Linked DNA regions of Nothobranchius furzeri. The protein of the gene in region 2 interacts with the protein of the main gene of each other region in a pairwise test. Links are inferred from orthologs where the notes say so. Each region holds a gene or a part of one and is shown on either strand. Other genes may lie near its edges.

What was found.
Region 1: the proteins of nudt3b (region 2) and rplp1 interact in a two-hybrid assay, tested with the Homo sapiens proteins (2 studies listed by BioGRID and IntAct). The link is inferred for Nothobranchius furzeri from reciprocal best matches to the Homo sapiens genes NUDT3 and RPLP1.

What each region holds. Positions count from the first base shown.
Region 1 is NC_091759.1:4,062,067-4,066,648, reverse strand, and holds the start of rplp1 (large ribosomal subunit protein P1), read right to left. Parts: upstream 2,829-4,582; 5' UTR 2,686-2,828; coding exon 2,614-2,685; intron 1,979-2,613; coding exon 1,904-1,978; intron 1-1,903. UniProt on the Homo sapiens protein: Plays an important role in the elongation step of protein synthesis.
Region 2 is NC_091743.1:70,852,734-70,857,287, reverse strand, and holds the start of nudt3b (diphosphoinositol polyphosphate phosphohydrolase 1), read right to left. Parts: upstream 3,000-4,554; 5' UTR 2,787-2,999; coding exon 2,688-2,786; intron 1,311-2,687; coding exon 1,200-1,310; intron 1-1,199. UniProt on the Homo sapiens protein: Cleaves a beta-phosphate from the diphosphate groups in PP-InsP5 (diphosphoinositol pentakisphosphate) and [PP]2-InsP4 (bisdiphosphoinositol tetrakisphosphate), suggesting that it may play a role in signal transduction.

The DNA.
Region 1 (4,582 bases), on a different chromosome or scaffold from region 2:
AACGTTTCAAGTGAAACAAAACTGGTTTGCTGCTAAAAATATGAAATAAAACAAAATTATCAGGCTGAACTAACAGAATCTTATTATAAAAGGCTCAATAACAAGCATTAGATTGGTGTTTAGTTCTTTTTTCTATCTGATATTTATAGTAAATAAGATTTAGAAATATTTGACCTACATTAAGATAATATTTTAGGTTTGTATGAATAACACTCATCTTAGTCAAAATAACACAAATATATTCAGTAAACTATAATGCATTTCATTAACATGCATTTGTATTGGAAATGGTAATAACATTTAATTTCTGCTGCTAACAATGTAATGGTGGCATTTCTTATGTACGGGTTTGCAATAATCCAGTTTAAATTATGTTGAAAGATAGAAGCGTTTGTGAACAATACACCACAACGGCTTGCCGTACTTCCTGCTCCAGTGTGTGGAGCAGACTTGTAGCAGTAATGTGACTCGTTTCTGCAGCGGTTCTGATCCGTAGCGCTGCAGGATGCAGAATGAACAGGATGGTGGGGACTTTTCATCCGCTTGTAGAGTTTAGCCTTTCTTAGTTTTACGATCATCATATATTTTTCTTCCCTGCTCTGATATGGAAGAGCCTGGGGGAAAATCAGGATGTCAATAGCACCAAACATAGATATGGGGCGACGAGGCACAGGAGTTAAGTGCTCGCCCCGCAATCGGAAGGTTGCAGGTTCAAGCCCCGCTCAGTCTGTCGCTGTCGTTGTGTTCTTGGGCAAGACACTTAACCCACGTTGCCTGCTGGTGGTGGTCGGAGGGACCGGTGGCGCCAGTGCTCGGCAGCCTCGCCTCTGTCAGTGCGCCCCAGGGCAGCTGTGGCTACATTGGGGCAGCAGTAGCTCAGGTGGTAGAGCGGGTTGCCTCATGATCGGAGGGTCATGGGTTTGATTCCAGCTCCCGCCAGGGGTATCCTGCTGTTGTGTCCTTGGGCAAGACACTTCACCCACCCAACTTGCCTGTGTTAGTGGTGGTCAGAGGGGCCGACGGCGCCAAACGGCAGCCTCGCCTCTGTCAGACCTCCCCAGGACGGCTGTGGCTACAAGTAGCTTACCATCACTAGCAGTGTGTGAATGTGAGTGTGTGAGAAAGCGTCTTTGGGTGTCTAGAAAAGCGCTATATAAGTTCAATGCATTATTATTATTATTATTGTAGATCATCCCCACCAGTGTGTGAATGTGTGTGTGAATGACTGATTGTGTTGTAAAGCGCCTTGGGGGGTTCCAGGACTCTAGAAGGCGCTATATCAAATACAGGCCATTTACCAAATAGCAAGAGAAGCAATTTTTGATCCTTTTCTGCAGTGGTTTTAGTGCTTTTCGGTGCACCGCTGCTGATACAGCGCCCCTGTAGTGGCGCAACGCTGCAACTGCAGTTAAAATGGGGGCAGCAGTAGCTCAGGTGGTACAGCAAGTTGCCTCAAGATCGGAGGGTCATGGGTTCGATTCCAGCTCCTGCCAGGGGTATTCTGCTGTTGTGTCCTTGGGCAAGACACTTCACCCAACTTGCCTGTGTTGGTGGTCGTCAGAGGCCGACGGAGCCAAATGGCAGCCTTGCCTCTGTCAGACCGCCCCAGGGCGGCTGTGGCTATAAAGTAGCTTACAATCACTAGCAGTGTGTGAATGTGTGTGTGTGAAAGCGTCTTTGAGTGTCCTGAAAAGCGCTATATAAGTTCAATGCATTACTATTATTATTAATAAAACATCCATATAGCAAGGGGGCAAAGTGAAATCAGGCTGGGGCGGCACAAAATTAGTTTGAAGCGGCCACTAATTTGAACGCAGGAAAAACCCTGTTAATGCACACGTCTTTTGAGGGTCACATTTCCATCATATGGTCAAGAAGTTGCATGTGTCAAGCACATTCTCACCTTGGCAAACAGACTTGGCCAGAAAGGCTCCACAGTGACTCCAGCAGCCTTGATCAGGGCATTCAGCTTGTCCTCCTGTGAGCACAGAGTCACACAATTTGAAAATGTGTTTTTCCTTTTCAGCACACGTACTGCTAAAGGGAAAATAACTGTCAAAACAAAACTGACAGCCTTAATTTATTAATACACCAGAGCGCTTTTAGTTACTTGTTCAAGGAGTTGAAAGTTGCTTCTAATGTGCATTATGGCTCACATGTTAGTTTTACAACCTATCAGATTTATCAGGGCTTAAGTGCTACCAAAAGGTGATAGGAGCAACGTAACATCCAGAAAACATGTCAAGCCACTATATCAGTAGTTTTAAAAGTGATACTCACTAAAGCAATGTAATGATGTGGGACATCAACTGTTAATTGTAAAAAACTAGTGAGGTCGTATATAAAACAGTAAGTAGTTGAACCTCACTGCCAAATTAATACATGAAATTCGCTTTTGATCATCGCTTAACTGTACAGCAGCTTGACAGGGCCTAGTTAGCCATTCCGCCATTTTTAACCGGTAAACACCGGCTGATAAATAGTATAACAGAAATTTACAGCTCGCCTTAATATGCTAACACGAACTATCTAATGAGTATTTTATTGCGTCAACACCCTCTTGTGTTATTTCCAATTTGCGCAACGGCAGTCGTGAGTAACCGGGACACTCACGGTGACGGTGACTTCATCATCGTGGAGGATCAGAGCGGAGTAAATGCAGGCGAGCTCAGATACGGAGGCCATTGTAGATATCAAAGGTGGTGGTAGTAGCGTCGGATGCCTAAATTTGACTGTGCTAGTCGCCGGATTGAGGACCTTAGCTTCAGATGAAGAACCAAGCACTTCAGGCACGTTTACGTTCCCACAGCGGAAAAGGAAGATGAAGGGGCGGGACTTTGGGATATATACGTGCGTAAGAAGCGTGGCTGTGACGTTTATACGTACAAACCGTCAGGTCCATTTTCCCATAGATATCATACGTTAACTAGATCCCTCGCCGCGCTGGTCGTTCTGGACCCTGACGTCCGTACGCGACGGCCATCTTACTTCGGACAGCTTTTTTTTATTTTTTATTTTTATTATTATCATCATTAAATGCTTATTACAATTTCTCGTGAGACAACAACACATAATGGAAACATACAAGGCATCCTTAGTAACAATAAAAGAAAAACAAATAAGAAACTTAAAAAAGAGGCACTTATATCATAAAGTAAAAACATTGTTTCAAGATTAAACATTTTTCTGCAGCATGACAAATGGCTTTTGCAGTTGCATTTGAATTTTTTTTACGAGTCAAAGGGGATAAGAACATACGGAATTCATTTGTGAAACAGTTCATGTTTGGCATTTGTTTTTTCCATTTGCTTTTGTGGATGTGGTATTTACCCATAATAATAATAATGTTAATTAACAATGAATTATTCCCATTTAATTTAGAATTGTAAATTAGAATATCTTCATTTGTAAAATGATCAAGTTCTCTTATTTTATTTCTTAACCAACAATGGACTTTTTCCCAAAACCTCTTACTGACAGGACAGCTGAAAAATAAGTGTTCTGTTCCTTCAGGGCTTTCTTGACAGAATTCACAAGGGTCAACTTCAAAACCAAATCCCTTCCTCAGTGTCTCTGCTGATGGATAGTAGTTGTTAAGAATTTTAAATTGCATTTCTTTTACTTTGGGCATTATAGGCCATTTTAGAACCCTGAGCAATCTCTTCACAAGACTTTTCCGACAACGGAAGAGTGTCTTCAGTCAGAGGCTTCTTCAGTTTCGCTGCAACACTGACCGCTACTGGAGATCCTTCCTGCCAACAGCCATTGTAATATACAATAACTCTTTGACGACTTGATTATTATTATTATTCTGAGCTACTACAGCAATCAATTTCCCTCTGGGATTAATAAAGTATTTTTGAATTGAATAGAATTATATATCTGTTTTTTATTGTTTTACTATTTTTACAATTGTACTGACCGCCATTTATATATTTTCATATTACCTCTTGTTATTTTATTCTCTTACTTATTCGAATACTTTACAGTGTTTACTCTGTGGGAGCCCTCTTCCTCAGGGCCGGTGGTCGGTGGCAGCGGCCTCGATGCTCTCCAGGTAGTGCTTGGGTGTAGGTGGGGCCCTCGCCCTCCCTCCTCTGGACGCCCTGTATCGGTGCCCTGCCTGCTGCCATGGTTGTGCTACTATTGGGGCGGATGGCTCCCCTGATGCCGTTTCCTTACATACCTGACTCATTTGAGCTCAGCCCAGCGTTTACTTATGTTCTCAACCATGTTGTGTGTGTATGTGTGTGTCACTGGGTTGGGGGAGGTTTTGTTTTTAATGTCAATGACATTTGTGGGATATGAGTTTTTTTTAAATCTGTAAAGCACTTTGAGTTACATTTTCTTTATGAAAAGCGCTTTATAAATAAAGTTTGATTTGATTTGATTCAAGAACCAATAGTACCTTTACCTGGGGTATGTACTCAGAATGGCATGCTAAAGTTGCTGAGCGGGATGCTGATTGATTGTAGCTCAGTAGCAAATAATGTCGCCAAAATAACCAGCATTTGTTAAATCAGAGGAGTTGCTTGTGAAGCGGAATGGAAGGAAAAGAAAAAAAGCAGTGTTGATCCAGGTT
Region 2 (4,554 bases):
AACATGACTGTATTTAAGTAGGTGGACTTTGCCAAAATATAAATTTAAAGACACTAAGATGGAGGTCTGATAACTGAAATATTAAATAAATAAATAAACAAATTTCTTTATTTCTATTTAAATATTGTGCATAATACTCTGTATTCCCCCTGAAAGTCCATTCTGTTAAGGAAAGAAAATCATACATTTGTTTTATGAAAATCTACAGAATGATGCACAGATCTGCATCAATACATTATATACAATATAGTGATTATCAATAAAGTAAAGAATAAAAAAAAGATATGTGTCTGGGGATAATTGTTTTACAAAATCTGTAAAATCCAGAGCCATAAAATAAACAATAACTCACTCCAGTAGCTCAGAGTACATGTCTGACCTATAAATTAATTTGTTAGAGAATAACACTTTGTTTAACATTTTGGAAAATTAAAAACAAAAATCTTTAGGTGTTTCTCAATGCCAAGGAACCTTGCCTTGATGTCTTGGCCCCGCCCTGGTTGCCTAGGTGATACGTCATCGGGAGCCGCCAAGACGTGTTCCAATCGGTTCCTATGTTCATGTTCTACCGAGGTATGTGTTCTCCGTTTGTTAGCCGTTTAGCTAGCTGAGCAAGGATACATGGGAGGTGCTTTGTGCCTAGCCTTGGTCAAAAATTACCCACAATACACCGCGGTATTTTCAAAAAGACGGCGGATCAGAAGTCGGAAGCTACTTCAGGGACAATTTTCAAGTTTAAAAGTAAGTCAATTAATTTAAAATGCTTTTTTTAGATCCAAAGAAGTTATCTATTGTTGGTTAGTTGCGGCTTCGGTGGCTAGCGGGTAATAACTCGTTTATATTTTTAATTTAATAAACATACACAATTTAAAAAGTAAAAGGCTCGTTATATATTTACATTGAAAGTAATACATATAAAATATGTTATCTCCCATGCCACGTGACGTTACGTGACCGCCGTGGAAGCCGCGGTCACGTGATGCAAGTCTGTTCCATTTAACCATTTTCTTTGACCAAGGAAGGACAGTGTCCTTGTAAGCAAGGCGCCTTGACATTGAGAAACACCCTTTGTCAACTAAAACCTTTTTAAGATGTAGTCGACTAAAACCAAGACTAAAATGCATTTTCGTCATCAAGACTAAGACTAAAACTAAGATGCACGCCAAAAACAACACTGGATAGAACACACCAGAACAAACCTCTTCGCACACTTCTCGAGCTGCAGCAACACTGGGCTCCTCTTCGGGCTCCATTCCTCCTCCAGGAACTATCCACTTGCCGGTATGTCGGCTACTGCTCACCAACAGCACCTATCCCATACAGCACAGATTAAATATAACAGATATTTTGCTTGTTGTTTCGTCACATAGAACATACAACTTGACAAAACTAGTCTAAACTAATCAAATAAAGCAACATTGAGGGCAGCAGTGGCTCTGGAGGTTGAGTGGGTTGACCAGTAACCAGAAAGCTGCAGGTTCGATCCTGGCTCCGGACAGAGAATTCTGCTGTTGTGTCCTTGGGCAAGACGCTTAACCCACCTTGCCCGCTGGTGATGGTCGGAGGGACCGGTGGCGCCTGTGCTCGGCAGCCTCGCCTCTGTCAGCTGTGGCTACATCGTAGCTCATCATCACCAGTGTGTGAATGTGTGTGTGACTGGATGAATGATGCACTGTAGTGTAAAGCGCTTTGGAGTCCTTCCTCTGAGAGGCGCTATTCAAGTGTGGGCCATTAATCAATTATCACATGCCTTTGTCACAACAGTGATAAGTTGCTGGATGAACTTGCATGATCGTTTACCCAAGCACTGGCTTTAGTTTGTTTTGTTTCCTGTACGGGTATAAGAAGTTAAAGGTTAAAGAATTTCACTGGAAACACCTCATCTGTGCGACACTGATGCACTTCCTGTAAACAACACATTTTATTCACAATCTATCTTCTATTATCTAGGACGAGTCTCTTATTTAGTTCTAATTTTGTTTGTAACGCATTTTCTTTTATTACAAACACATTTGTTCTTGCTTAGGAACGGGCAGTCAGTTTTCAAAAAAATTTAACAAACCTTAGTTAAAGCGGATTTTTATTCTATCATTCAGTTGACGCTACTACTACAATGTTATAAAGTTTACGACCTAAATTATTTCCTATGTATGTTAAGTGGCTCGCCACAAACGGAGCGACCTGTTAGTTTAAACTATTCCAGCTACACAATTCAATGGGGTAAAATATCTGTTTCATTGCACTAGGCGTTATTTAACATGCCACGATAAACCAGAATAAATACACACATTTTCTTAATTGTCTTAAAAACAAAATCGTCATTTTGTACATGTCTTACAAGTCAGCCAGCAGAGCCAATTCAGTAGGCTGTGGTTGCTGGCTGACAGCCGGCTGCCCGGAGCAACAACCTGGCTAGTTAGCATTAGCACGCAGCTAACGGTCCAATAATGCAAAACACATAGGCTTCCATTTGTACAGCTAAAGGGGCTTACATAACACTTAGATAAGTATGGGCAAAAACTAATTTAAATACACATACGTGGTGAACTACATATGAACCGGGAATAAGAGTTAAAAATCATTACAATCACAGCTATGTTCATTAATGTACTGATTTACAGACGGTAAGTACCTACGGCCGGCTAACCTTAGCATGGCCTAGCAGACAGCTACATCACCGGACTCACCTCCTCTTCAGATTCGCTCCTGAAGCACAGACAGGCGGCCCGCTTCTTGTAGCCGTCCCCATCGTACGTCCGGGTTTGGTTGGACTTGAGCTTAATCATTTCGCAAGCGCAAAAGTTTAAAAGTACAGCTAAGTTTACCGCGTATATAGATGATGGTTACAGACCAAAAGCCCTCTTCAAGGGAACCTCAGCGTTTGACTCAAAAGAAATAAGTTCTTCTTCGCTTCATTTTCACAAACCTAGGCACATCTACGGTACGGTCGCCATCACGAGGAGCCGTTACGTCCACGACGTAATTGAGCCTTTAATAGTTAGAACAGCGTAATGATGTTGCGTAACCAGCGCTTAAGAATCGGAGACTGTGAGGAAAGGAGGAAACGCAACACCACGCTCTGAGCCGGTGAAGGAAACTAGCGGTTTTGCCTCCAGACTCAAACTAACCTGATAAGCCCACTTGTTTGAGGCAGCAGTGATTTTGCTTTATTTTTATGAGAATTATAATCTAACCTTACATAAATGCTTTGAACTTAAACACTCAATTTAGATTATATTTCTCATTCAGCATTTTAACAGTTGATTGATTAAAAAATGGCCACATTTGTAATTTAGTATGGCACAAATAGAACACAGTTTTAAGTTTATATTTCCCTAATTGTGGTTTATAGTTTTCTTCATAACACCTTCTGGCCTCAAACATAATGTACACTACAGACAAATCAAACTACATTAAAATAATGCAGCCCCAAGGCCTACACTGTTTTTTTTAAATAAATAATTGAAACATACAACTGTCAGTCTTGGTCTCTTGGACAAAATTTCAATCCCTGAACACTACATTTAAATGATTAAAATCCATTTAAGGAGAAGTAATTCGAGGGAAACTTCTACAGCATGAGGATGTTAACATCATAATATTTTTAAGGGAGAAGGTAAAAAAAAGTTGATATCAAATATTTTATCTATCAGGGATTCCCTAAGTGTGGTGCCAGGGTGCGCGAGCTGCCGCTAGGGGGTGCGCGAGGTGAAAAGTGTAATGGCTGCGGAGCTCAGAGAAGTCTGTCAAATGTCATCATTAGCGTAGCCAGAAACTCATTTGTGGGTGGGCTTAAGAAAAAGTAAGTGGGCCCAATAAATACAATTGAAAACAAGTATATTTTGCGTGTGTGTGTGTGTGTGTGTGTGTGTGTGTGTGTGTGTGAGTGTGTCCTCCGCATGCGCCCTAGCTTCATAATAATAATGCGCCGAGCATCGGCACTCTGGCCTGCGCACGCCGTTAATAGCAAGATATGTTCCGTATTTGATCATTTTTCATGGTGTTGGAGAAATCTGAAGGTGGTGAGTCATTCTGGCAGATTGTAATTAACACCCTGTCTCATGCAGGTGTTCTGACATTGTAAACCTCACACACAGAACATTGTGAATGTAACTAAATAAATCAAGAAATGATTCCCATCTGAGCATTTTAGCATTATTATATTAGCACACTGACTGTGGGACAGCATTCTAAACGTGTCAGGCTATTAACAGCGCGCTGAAGATCTGAAGTTCAGAGTTAGACGCGTTCCAGCGAAGCCACGGCTCACATGTGAGCACTTCTGGGCTGGGCAGAAGTTATTTTACAACATTGGTTTAAATAGTGCCAATAACGAGACACGGTGAGCGGCTCATGGAGCTGTGCCGCCAACACATTCTCACTCCCAGCACGTCAAAAACAAACGCTTGGTCAGCCACCCTCCACATCAGTCAGACCCCTGATGCCAAAAGTGCCCTTTTTTGTTACTGTGAGGGATCAAGCCAAATGAGTGGAGGAACACAGACAATTTCCAAACATAGACTCTTTAATTTCCTTTTTGTTTTAAAATGTCCT